3 linked regions of the Tribolium castaneum genome follow. The protein of the gene in region 3 binds, or shares a complex with, the protein of the main gene of each other region. Links are inferred from orthologs where the notes say so. Each region holds a gene or a part of one and is shown on either strand. Other genes may lie near its edges.

What was found.
Region 1: Mocs2B (region 3) and DNA polymerase epsilon subunit 3 share a complex: the UniProt entries of both Drosophila melanogaster proteins name them as parts of the ada2a-containing (ATAC) complex. The link is inferred for Tribolium castaneum from reciprocal best matches to the Drosophila melanogaster genes Mocs2B and Chrac-14.
Region 2: Mocs2B (region 3) and NC2beta share a complex: the UniProt entries of both Drosophila melanogaster proteins name them as parts of the ada2a-containing (ATAC) complex. The link is inferred for Tribolium castaneum from reciprocal best matches to the Drosophila melanogaster genes Mocs2B and NC2beta.

Annotation. Positions count from the first base shown.
Region 1 is NC_087394.1:1,508,898-1,511,530, reverse strand, and holds DNA polymerase epsilon subunit 3, read left to right. Parts: upstream 1-1,533; 5' UTR 1,534-1,605; coding exon 1,606-1,876; intron 1,877-1,924; coding exon 1,925-2,034; 3' UTR 2,035-2,050; downstream 2,051-2,633. Other genes in the region: centrosome-associated protein 350-like, read right to left, coding at 1-1,184; E3 ubiquitin-protein ligase LRSAM1, read right to left, coding at 2,167-2,286, 2,338-2,561. UniProt on the Drosophila melanogaster protein: Accessory component of the DNA polymerase epsilon complex. Participates in DNA repair and in chromosomal DNA replication. Histone-like protein which promotes nucleosome sliding of ATP-dependent nucleosome remodeling complexes.
Region 2 is NC_087398.1:1,910,237-1,912,950, forward strand, and holds NC2beta (protein Dr1), read right to left. Parts: upstream 1,273-2,714; 5' UTR 1,154-1,272; coding exon 913-1,153; intron 866-912; coding exon 594-865; 3' UTR 571-593; downstream 1-570. UniProt on the Drosophila melanogaster protein: Bifunctional basic transcription factor. Activates transcription of DPE (Downstream Promoter Element) containing promoters while repressing transcription of promoters which contain TATA elements.
Region 3 is NC_087396.1:21,505,729-21,509,588, forward strand, and holds Mocs2B (molybdopterin synthase catalytic subunit), read left to right. Parts: upstream 1-1,329; coding exon 1,330-1,574; intron 1,575-1,625; coding exon 1,626-1,807; intron 1,808-1,857; coding exon 1,858-2,115; intron 2,116-2,547; coding exon 2,548-2,765; intron 2,766-2,811; coding exon 2,812-2,922; 3' UTR 2,923-2,959; downstream 2,960-3,860. Other genes in the region: Wdr92 (dynein axonemal assembly factor 10), read right to left, coding at 1-33, 78-208, 251-534; Mocs2A (molybdopterin synthase sulfur carrier subunit), read left to right, coding at 1,063-1,320; JNK1/MAPK8-associated membrane protein, read right to left, coding at 2,960-3,246, 3,297-3,466, 3,516-3,728, 3,772-3,860. UniProt on the Drosophila melanogaster protein: Catalytic subunit of the molybdopterin synthase complex, a complex that catalyzes the conversion of precursor Z into molybdopterin.

The sequences.
Region 1 (2,633 bases), on a different chromosome or scaffold from region 3:
GAAACATTTGGTTGTTTCATCGTCAAAGATTCGGGAACCGAATCCGAATCAGAGAAATTTTTCGATACTTTTTTTTCAGTTAGGAGCGATTTAAATGAAACACTTTCTTTGTGAAAATCCGAACTGTAACTATCGTCACTTTTCTGCAACTTGTAGTTTTTCAATTTATCGAAATCGAGCTTTAGACTTTCACTCGAAATGTCGGGAATATTTTTCGAAGTATCCGACTCACTACCACTATCACAATTATTGAACAAATTTTTCGACACTTCTCTCAATTCTAAATTTTCCACAGGCTTCAAGTCGAGACATTTGTGCGAAACAAACGATCTCAACTCACTTTTGGCACTTTTAATCAACAGTTCTTTAATTTCTTCCCTCGATTTTGTTTCCAGGGGCGGAGTCCCGGAATTCTGCACCCCAATGTCGATAAAATTCCGGGGCGAATTCACAGCAAACTGCAATTTTCTCTTAACTGTGTTTATAAAATTGTACGGATACGCCGCACAAGGGGGCTCCAGCCAGGGCGCCCCCTTGTCGCACGTTTGCGTCTCTTTCGCCTCAGACGACGTTTTCGCCAATTTCTGGGGCTCCCGGGCCTTGGCCCTCGAAATTCTCTCGCTTTTTTGCGTCTTTTCGGAGCCCTCAGAAACTTTTTGTGCGGGCGACTTCGAGCGGTCGATTTTCGGGGGGCCCCCCTTGTCCTGTGACTTCGGGCGGTTGGTTCGGACAAGGGGGCCCCCTTTCTCCCGCGCCTTCGAGCGGTCGATCCGGACAGGGGGCTCGCCCTTGTCCCGCGATTTCGAGCGTTCGCGCTTCAACTGCACGTTTTTTGTCACCAGCTCGAGTGTTTTCTGGTGTAATTCTTTCAGTTTTTGCTTTTTCAGATCGAGTTTATTGTCAGTGGTGTTGATTTGGGCCCGCAATTGTTCGGCGCGTTTTTCCCGCTGTTTTTTGATGTAGTTACGCGCCTCGGTGACGTCATAACTGCGGGGCTTTTTCTCGGGATCGGGGGGCGCCTTTTTTTTAACGGTTTGGGTATCAGGGGCTGGCTTGTGGGTGGGGGGCTCAGGGGGCTGGGTCCCAAGACTTATGAGCTTCTCTAGCTCGGTTTTGAGCTGTTCGATCTCTTTTTTTGTGTTTTTTACACGAGTGCTGACATTTTCCACTTGGCTTATGGACATTTCTGAACCCCCTTTTTTTAGCGAATTACGACTGGAAATTGATTAGACTGACGTACAATTCACGAATTGACCCACATTTGTGTTAATTTAGGTGAGAAAATGCAAAATTAACTCACCTTTTTCACATATTTTCAAAACGTCAACCGTTTATAACATAACCTCAATAACCAAGGCCAACAAGGGTGAATAGTTCAAGGCCCCCCACCAAAACTGCAAAAAACAGCCCCTAAAATAAACCACCCCATTCGTCACGAGCCCCCCAAGCTTAATTAAACAAAAAACACAAATTTATAATTATTAGGTGACCAATAATAAACAAATTAATGATTTTTTAATCAAAATTCAAACATGGCGGTTGGCATTGCGCATGCGCGTTTTTTGTTTTTGGTGGGAAAAGTAATTTTGTGAATTTTGTGACCAAATGGCCGAAAAACTGGAAGATTTGAATTTGCCGAACATGACGGTGCAAAAGATAATTAAAGACGCATTGCCTGAACACGTCAGTGTTGGTAAAGACGCCCGTTCGGCCCTGTCAAGGGCCGCTTCAATTTTTGTCCTGTACATAACCTCACAAGCCACCAAAGAGGCGCAAAAAGTGAACAGAAAGACTCTTCTGGGTCAAGACATTCTAACAGCGTTAGAAGAGCTCGAGTTTGACGAATTCGTGGAGCCCTTAAGTGTGATGCTGAGAGGTTAGTTTTTTTTTGAGGTTATGTTCACGTTTCAAAAACCGACTTCAGATTTCAAAGAAGCGAAGCAGAAGAAGAAAGTGAAGAAGGGGGCCGACGTTGAAATGGCGGAAGACAACGACGAGGAGGCCGTGGAAGAGGAAGAAACGGGAGAATCGTAATAAAAAATAAATTTTTTGTGATAGTTTTTTATTCATGAGAAAAAGTAACAACTGACTAGATTAAGGCCACAAATCGTGCAGAATTCACACTTTAGCAACACTGAGCAAAAAAAGTGACGGCAGTTGAACGAACTATGAAATTATTCTAATTTTGCGTTCGATTGAAGTCCTGCACATTGGACAGTCGTTCAAGGTCACAGGACACTGGGAACAGCAACAGAAGTGTCCACATGGCACGAAAATCACCTCACACTGCAAAAAAAAAACACCAAAATTCGCCTTAATTTGAGATAAACAACATACAGTTGAGTCCAAACAAATGACGCATTCAGTCCCCAAATTTGCGACATTTTCGAGTGGTGGCGCACTTGCCTCTTCGATTGGCAGCACTGGAGCTGAGGGGGCCGTATCGGTCGGTATTTGCTCCTTTCGGTACATTTGGAATGCGTCTAAAATGTGGACCCGGTCCGATTTATTCACAATTCCCACTTCTTTGAGGTCGCTTTCTGTGATTTTTGCAACGTTGCCTGCAAATTGGTTAAAAATCGGGCCAAAGTAGGCACTGACTTTGAAATTTAGGTTGGCAACACTGACGGGCA
Region 2 (2,714 bases), on a different chromosome or scaffold from region 3:
ATATCATGCTTGGGTAAGCGCACTATTTGCGATAATGATGAAAAAATCTGGAGAATTTACTTACACGAGTTCATTCACATAACCTCAATGTACGGCAGCTTTGCGCCTTTTTGTATCTCTAGTTTGCTTATCAAAAAAACTATTTTTGTATTAAATATAAAAATTGTTCTGCGGTTACGTGCTAAATGGAAATTAAATAACTTTTTTTCTATTAGAAAATGACATTATCTTGGGGATATTTCAATGAAAAAAGTGTTGCCAAGATCAAAACATGGCAAACATGTTACGTTGGCACTTAGTTGGCGCTTAGTTTTAAAGGTTTTTTTTCCATTTATTTAATAATTATTTTTATTACTTAATTATTTACAGGGACTACATTACCAAGACTGTAATAATGAGTGTTTTTCAGCGTTAGGAAATTGGTTATTTTATCCTGTTTAGACTTCGTACGCATAAGATTGCAGATGAATAATTTTCTTGTAAAAAACGTTGGGTCACTATTTATTGAATGTTTGTGGTTGATACAAAGCCTAAATCTAAGATATTAAAAAATAAATGAAAACAATAACAAAATATTTAAAGCGTTTAATAAATCATTCGTAATCATCATCATTGTTTGGTAGAGCCGAAGCTTGGGCTTGTGCCGCAGCTTGTAGTTGCTCCCATTGCTGTTGCTCCACAAAAGCCTGCTCTTGCCTAGCCTTGGCGAACAACTCCTGCTGTTGTCTCAACAACTCCTCTTCTGGTATTCCCAAATTTTCTAACCTTGTGCTCTGTCGCCTGCGTTTCGCTGCAACAGCCTTACAGTCCTTAAGAACAGCTTCAGCTTCGGTTTGATAATCTCCAAAACCCAACTTTTCTAAAGCTGCGAAAAACTTTACTTTTGTGTTGTTTAACAATGATGAAACATACCCATCAAAACGTGTTCCGCATTTATAGTCTTTTTGTCCAATCGATTACATATTTCGTTCGCTTCAGAACTAAGCAAATGGATAAATTCCGTACAACAGTTGAGGATTAATTCCCTTGCTTCATTTGCAACTCGAACTGATGGGACTAACTCCTTTATCATTTTGTTAATGCTAGCCCGAGGCAAAGTCAGCTCATCGTCTTCGGTATTTGTTAAACCACCAGCATTATTTTGATTAGACATTGTAAATTGTTATATTTATCAACAAAAAAGAGATATTTAACCTCAAATAGGGACAGCTGGAACAATTTGACATGTCAAGGATAATGCTGTTAGAGTCCGCGAAATGACAGATCGTCATTTGTGTGAAGACAGCTCCCAAAACCAGCTCCTCGAATTTCCGAAGAGACCCGAACATGAAGCCAGTTTCAGACTAGCAAAATAAGTTTCAGTTTGCTTAGATGTATGTTTGGTTGTCAGCTTTGAAACCGTTTAATAAAATAAAAATCCGAAAAAACACTAAACACCCTCTTAAAAATGACATTTTAAGAAAGTCACTATGCTAATAGCGAAAAACTCAATTATTTACCACAAATTGCTTTTTAATTTTTCCCACTTTTTCACCTAATTTCAATATTTATGGCTCCGCAAATGCATTATTGTAGTTTTCGCCCCATTTCACCCCGAAATCGGTTTTGTCACACAATGCCCTTTTGACCACTAATTCAACAATAAAAAAGACGTTTTTTAAAAATAAAATTATGGCCTTTTAGTTGTCGGAACAATGTTAAAAATTGTTATGTTGCCCAGCTCCGCAAATGCACTGTTGCAGTTTTCGCCCCATTTCACCCCGAAATCGGTTTTGTCACACAATGCCCTTTTGACCACCAATTCAACAATAAAAAAGACGTTTTTTAAAAATAAAATTATGGCCTTTTAGTTGTCGGAACAATGTTAAAAATTGTTATGTTTTCCAGCTCCGCAAATGCACTATTGCAGTTTTCGCCCCATTTCACCCCGAAATCGGTTTTGTCACATAATGCCCTTTTGACCACCAATTCAACAATAAAAAAGACGTTTTTTAAAAATAAAATTATGGCCTTTTAGTTGTCGGAACAATGTTAAAAATTGTTATGTTTTCCAGCTCCGCAAATGCATTATTGCAGTTTTCGCCCCATTTCACCCCGAAATCGGTTTTGTCACATAATGCCCTTTTGACCACCAATTCAACAATAAAAAAGACGTTTTTTAAAAATAAAATTATGGCCTTTTAGTTGTCGGAACAATGTTAAAAATTGTTATGTTTTCCAGCTCCGCAAATGCATTATTGCAGTTTTCGCCCCATTTCACCCCGAAATCGGTTTTGTCACACAATGCCCTTTTGACCACCAATTCAACAATAAAAAAGACGTTTTTTAAAAATAAAATTATGGCCTTTTAGTTGTCGGAACAATGTTAAAAATTGTTATGTTTTCCAGCTCCGCAAATGCACTATTGCAGTTTTCGCCCCATTTCACCCCGAAATCGGTTTTGTCACACAATGCCCTTTTGACCACCAATTCAACAATAAAAAAGACGTTTTTTAAAAATAAAATTATGGCCTTTTAGTTGTCGGAACAATGTTAAAAATTGTTATGTTTTCCAGCTCCGCAAATGCACTATTGCAGTTTTCGCCCCATTTCACCCCGAAATCGGTTTTGTCACATAATGCCCTTTTGACCACCAATTCAACAATAAAAAAGACGTTTTTTAAAAATAAAATTATGGCCTTTTAGTTGTCGGAACAATGTTAAAAATTGTTATG
Region 3 (3,860 bases):
CTTTTTGCCGAATGTCCCACACCATGACAGCCCCTAAAAATGTTCGAGCAATGACTTTCAATAAAAAATTACAGTACCGTCTTTAGATCCGGTGGCTATTTCGGGGGCCCCGCACCCACTGGCAACCCCCGCAACTCCATCAATGGCGTTAATGACCCCGCGGTGCTTCTCCGTCTTATAAATCGGGATTAAATTCTCCTCCAAATCCCTACGAGACTTAAAAATTTTGGCCAACTTTTGGACGACTTACCAGACTTGTAACCGCCCGCTGAAGTCGCCAGTCGCAAGGTGGCGGTCTCTTAAACTCGAGGCGTGAAACGTGCCGCATTTAAAGTGGTCTTTCTTGCCGAATTCGGCCACTTTTTCGATCCCATCACCACTGATTGAGTAGGTCTCGATAATTCCAGCCCCGTTTGATTTGCCCCCGATTGAGACGAATTTCGCGGAACAGGGGATCCACTTGACGTCGTGGACGGTGTAGTTCAGGGCTTGCTGCACGTGGCAGATTATTTGGGGCCTTTGGAGCGACTCCATAACGTTTGATTGATCAAACAATTGTTGTCATAGCAAAGCGCATTTTCGGGGGCAATAATTGCCCAAGTTTAAATAAAACAAGCTGTTCTCGTTACGTTTTTAATTATTTTGTTTTTTTTTTTCACCCCCGTTATATCCTGCAATGTTCTTTATTTTTGCAGGAAATTAAGCCCTTCGTTAGGGCCTTCGACTGTAAAAAATCATGTTCGGACAAACAGCCATTGGGACCTTTTTTTACGGCTGTAAAAAAACAATTAGCAATACATTTAAGGATTGCTCTAATTAGTCAAATTATTAACTAATTTGTCCAGCAAATTAGGTTTAGAGCATTCTTGTCAGGAAAAAAGGAAACAGCTTCCAAAGCATTCGAAAAAAAGATTTTTAATTGCATTTTATTCGTAAGAAAGTGAGGTTAAAAATTTGACAACTTGCGCTCTAAATATGTCGTTTCAAATATAAACAGAGTAGTGATAAAAGTAATTATTTTGCTTCAATTCGGTGATTATGTAAGCGCAACAACACTATGATATGTTAGTGACCGTCAAAGTGTTGTTTTTCGCTAAATCGAGAGAAATCGTGGGCCAAAAATCCGCCGAACTTGACCTGCCGTCCCCCATCTCCTACAAAAAGCTTTTAGAAACACTCGTCGGCACGTATTTTTTGGCCGAAATTGCCCAAAACATTATTCTCTCCCTCAATGAGGAGTTTTGCGACGTGGAAAGTGTCGAAATTGTGTTAAAACAGGGCGACGAAGTAGCAATAATCCCACCTCTGAGTGGCGGTTAGGGCCCCAAAATGAATTTTTTGAAATTCACCGAAGACAAGCTAAGTGTTGAGGCGTTGACTGATCTAGTCGCCTCGCCGAAATGTGGCGCAGTCTCGGTTTTTATGGGGACCACCAGAGACAGTTTCGGGGAAAAAACCGTCCTTAAATTGGAGTACGAGGCGTACGAAGCCATGGCTTTGAAGTGTCTCGAAAAAGTGTGCGGGGAGATCAGGGCCAAGTGGCCTCAAGTCGAAAATATCGCAATCTATCACAGGTTTGAAAAATTTAAATTGGGGCCAAATTTTGATTTTTTTTTGTTTAACAGACTGGGGGTTGTGGGGGTCAAGGAGGCTAGCATTGTAATTGCAATCGCGTCCCCCCACCGTACCGAGGCGCTGCAAGCCACCGACTGGTGCATCAACAAGGTTAAAGAGAGTGTGCCTATTTGGAAAAAGGAGATTTACGCTGAAACTGAAACTCCTCCACAGTGGAAGGAAAATAAAGAATGTGGGTGGTCAAGTAAATAAAGTCTAAAATTGATTGGCTCTCATTTATAGCCCCCAAACCGAAAAAATTCAAGCTCGAAATCGAGCCCAAAGTCGAAATTCCCAACGTTTCGCCCCATTTGATTCAAATCAAGGCCTCAAACGCGGACTTGAGCAAACGAATCGAGAATTTTATGGAGATGAAGCGAAACGAAATCAACATAAGCAATGTGAGAGAGTTTTGCACAAGTAATCGAAGTTCAGAGTTCACTTGCGCCCGAGTCGATGCGGTTTTGCAAAAACGCAAAGACTCCAATGGCCATTTGCAAGGTTCGTGGCCCTTAAAAAATCACAATTTTACGATTTTTATTCCAATTTTTACAAGTCTGCTAAAAGTATACAACTGCACAGGGTTATTCTATTTGGCACCAGACATTTTTCATTAATGTTTAGAGAACACATTTTTATCTGAAAATAAAAAAATTAACGAAAAAATTAAGACTTTACGGACAGGACACAAATGTGCCGAGCATGACCTCCTTGATGTATGCAGACAACTTCGTTAAAAATAATACATCAAGGAGGCCATGGCGCCGAGTAAAAATTGACTGAAAAAAAAGAGCAAAGAAACTGCACGGTCAACACGAGAAATATATTTTTAACAGACTAACCCTCTATAAATTTAGCAAAAAATGTCGGGGAAAAGTGCTACTTTTCGGACGATTTTCGAAAAACAAGTATTTCAGACTAATTTTTTTGCAGTAAGTCGGGTTTTGAACACTTACCACCGCGACCAAACAAATTCGGACTACCTGACCAAATACATCCCCCAAAACGGCATTGAGGAGCGCCTCCAAAACCTGGAAATCCAACTCAGTTTGACCACCCCAACCCCGAAAAATATCTACACCCGTTTGAAGAAACTAGAAGACCGGATATTGTTCCTTGAAACGATTTCGCCCGAATATATCAATTTTTGGGTAAGCTTTTTGAGAGATTTCCCTCCCTTTTTAGTGAAATTTTTAGGACAAAAGCCACTTAAACAATAGATTTGTGAAGAAGAAGGTTTTCTCAGTTGAGGAAATCGATTCGCTAATTAGCGATTTGGAGCGGAAGGTTCAGGAGGAGAAAAAATAAATCTGTTTTTAGTTTATTATTATTATTAAAAAATAAATTACGTAAATATTGTCGGGTCGGTAAACCTGGCCGTGAAAATGTAAAAAAAAGCCGGCAGTGGGACCAACAGTAGCAACAATGAGTGAAAAGTCGGGTCACTAAGCTGAGTTATTGAAATTAAACCATAGGCGTGTAAACACCAATGGCCCACTAAGATTACCACATTTCTCGGGTCTACAACTGTTGTTATGATGAGTGAGGGAATCGATTGGTTGATTTTGAGGGCAAAGTGATAAGCACACGAAATAACTGACAAAATAACGACCAAAATTGGGAACGCATAATCTGGAACAAAACCAATCAAAAGTGTGATTTTTGGCGCAATCATTACGTACAAAGAAGTCCCCCAATTAGGGCATGGACCACCACCAAAATCGGTATATAGTACATGGCGGCATAAATCGACATTTTGCTCTGCCTTGGAAGGTATTTCCGGCAAACCCATGGCCTTATCAAAAGCATAACAATCAAAGTCAGGGCATAAAAAATAAAAACTAGCGTATACCTAAAACAAAAACACTCAATAAAGTAGTATAATCAATTAGTAGCCCTACAAGGGATACACAGCCTCCTGGGTACAATGCACCCTCTTCTCATAATCCGGGGCCGGATTATGCAACAAAGTGTACCAATCGGCCAAGCTGCGCACTCTGCAGTTCCGCACCTGGAACTCGCCGAACGGGTGCGTGAAAAGCACCGACAAGAGCCCCGAAATGACCACTTCCACCAGCGCAGTCAAGTGTAAAATTAGGACGTCTTTTTTGAAGCTACAACGAACAGTGAAGGTGTGACGGGCAATAGGGGGCTCACCTTCGTCGCATCGACACCATGTCGATGAAAAACCAGTGCAGAATCTGGACCAGGAGCACCATAAACCCCAAATAAAGCCAGTCGTAGAA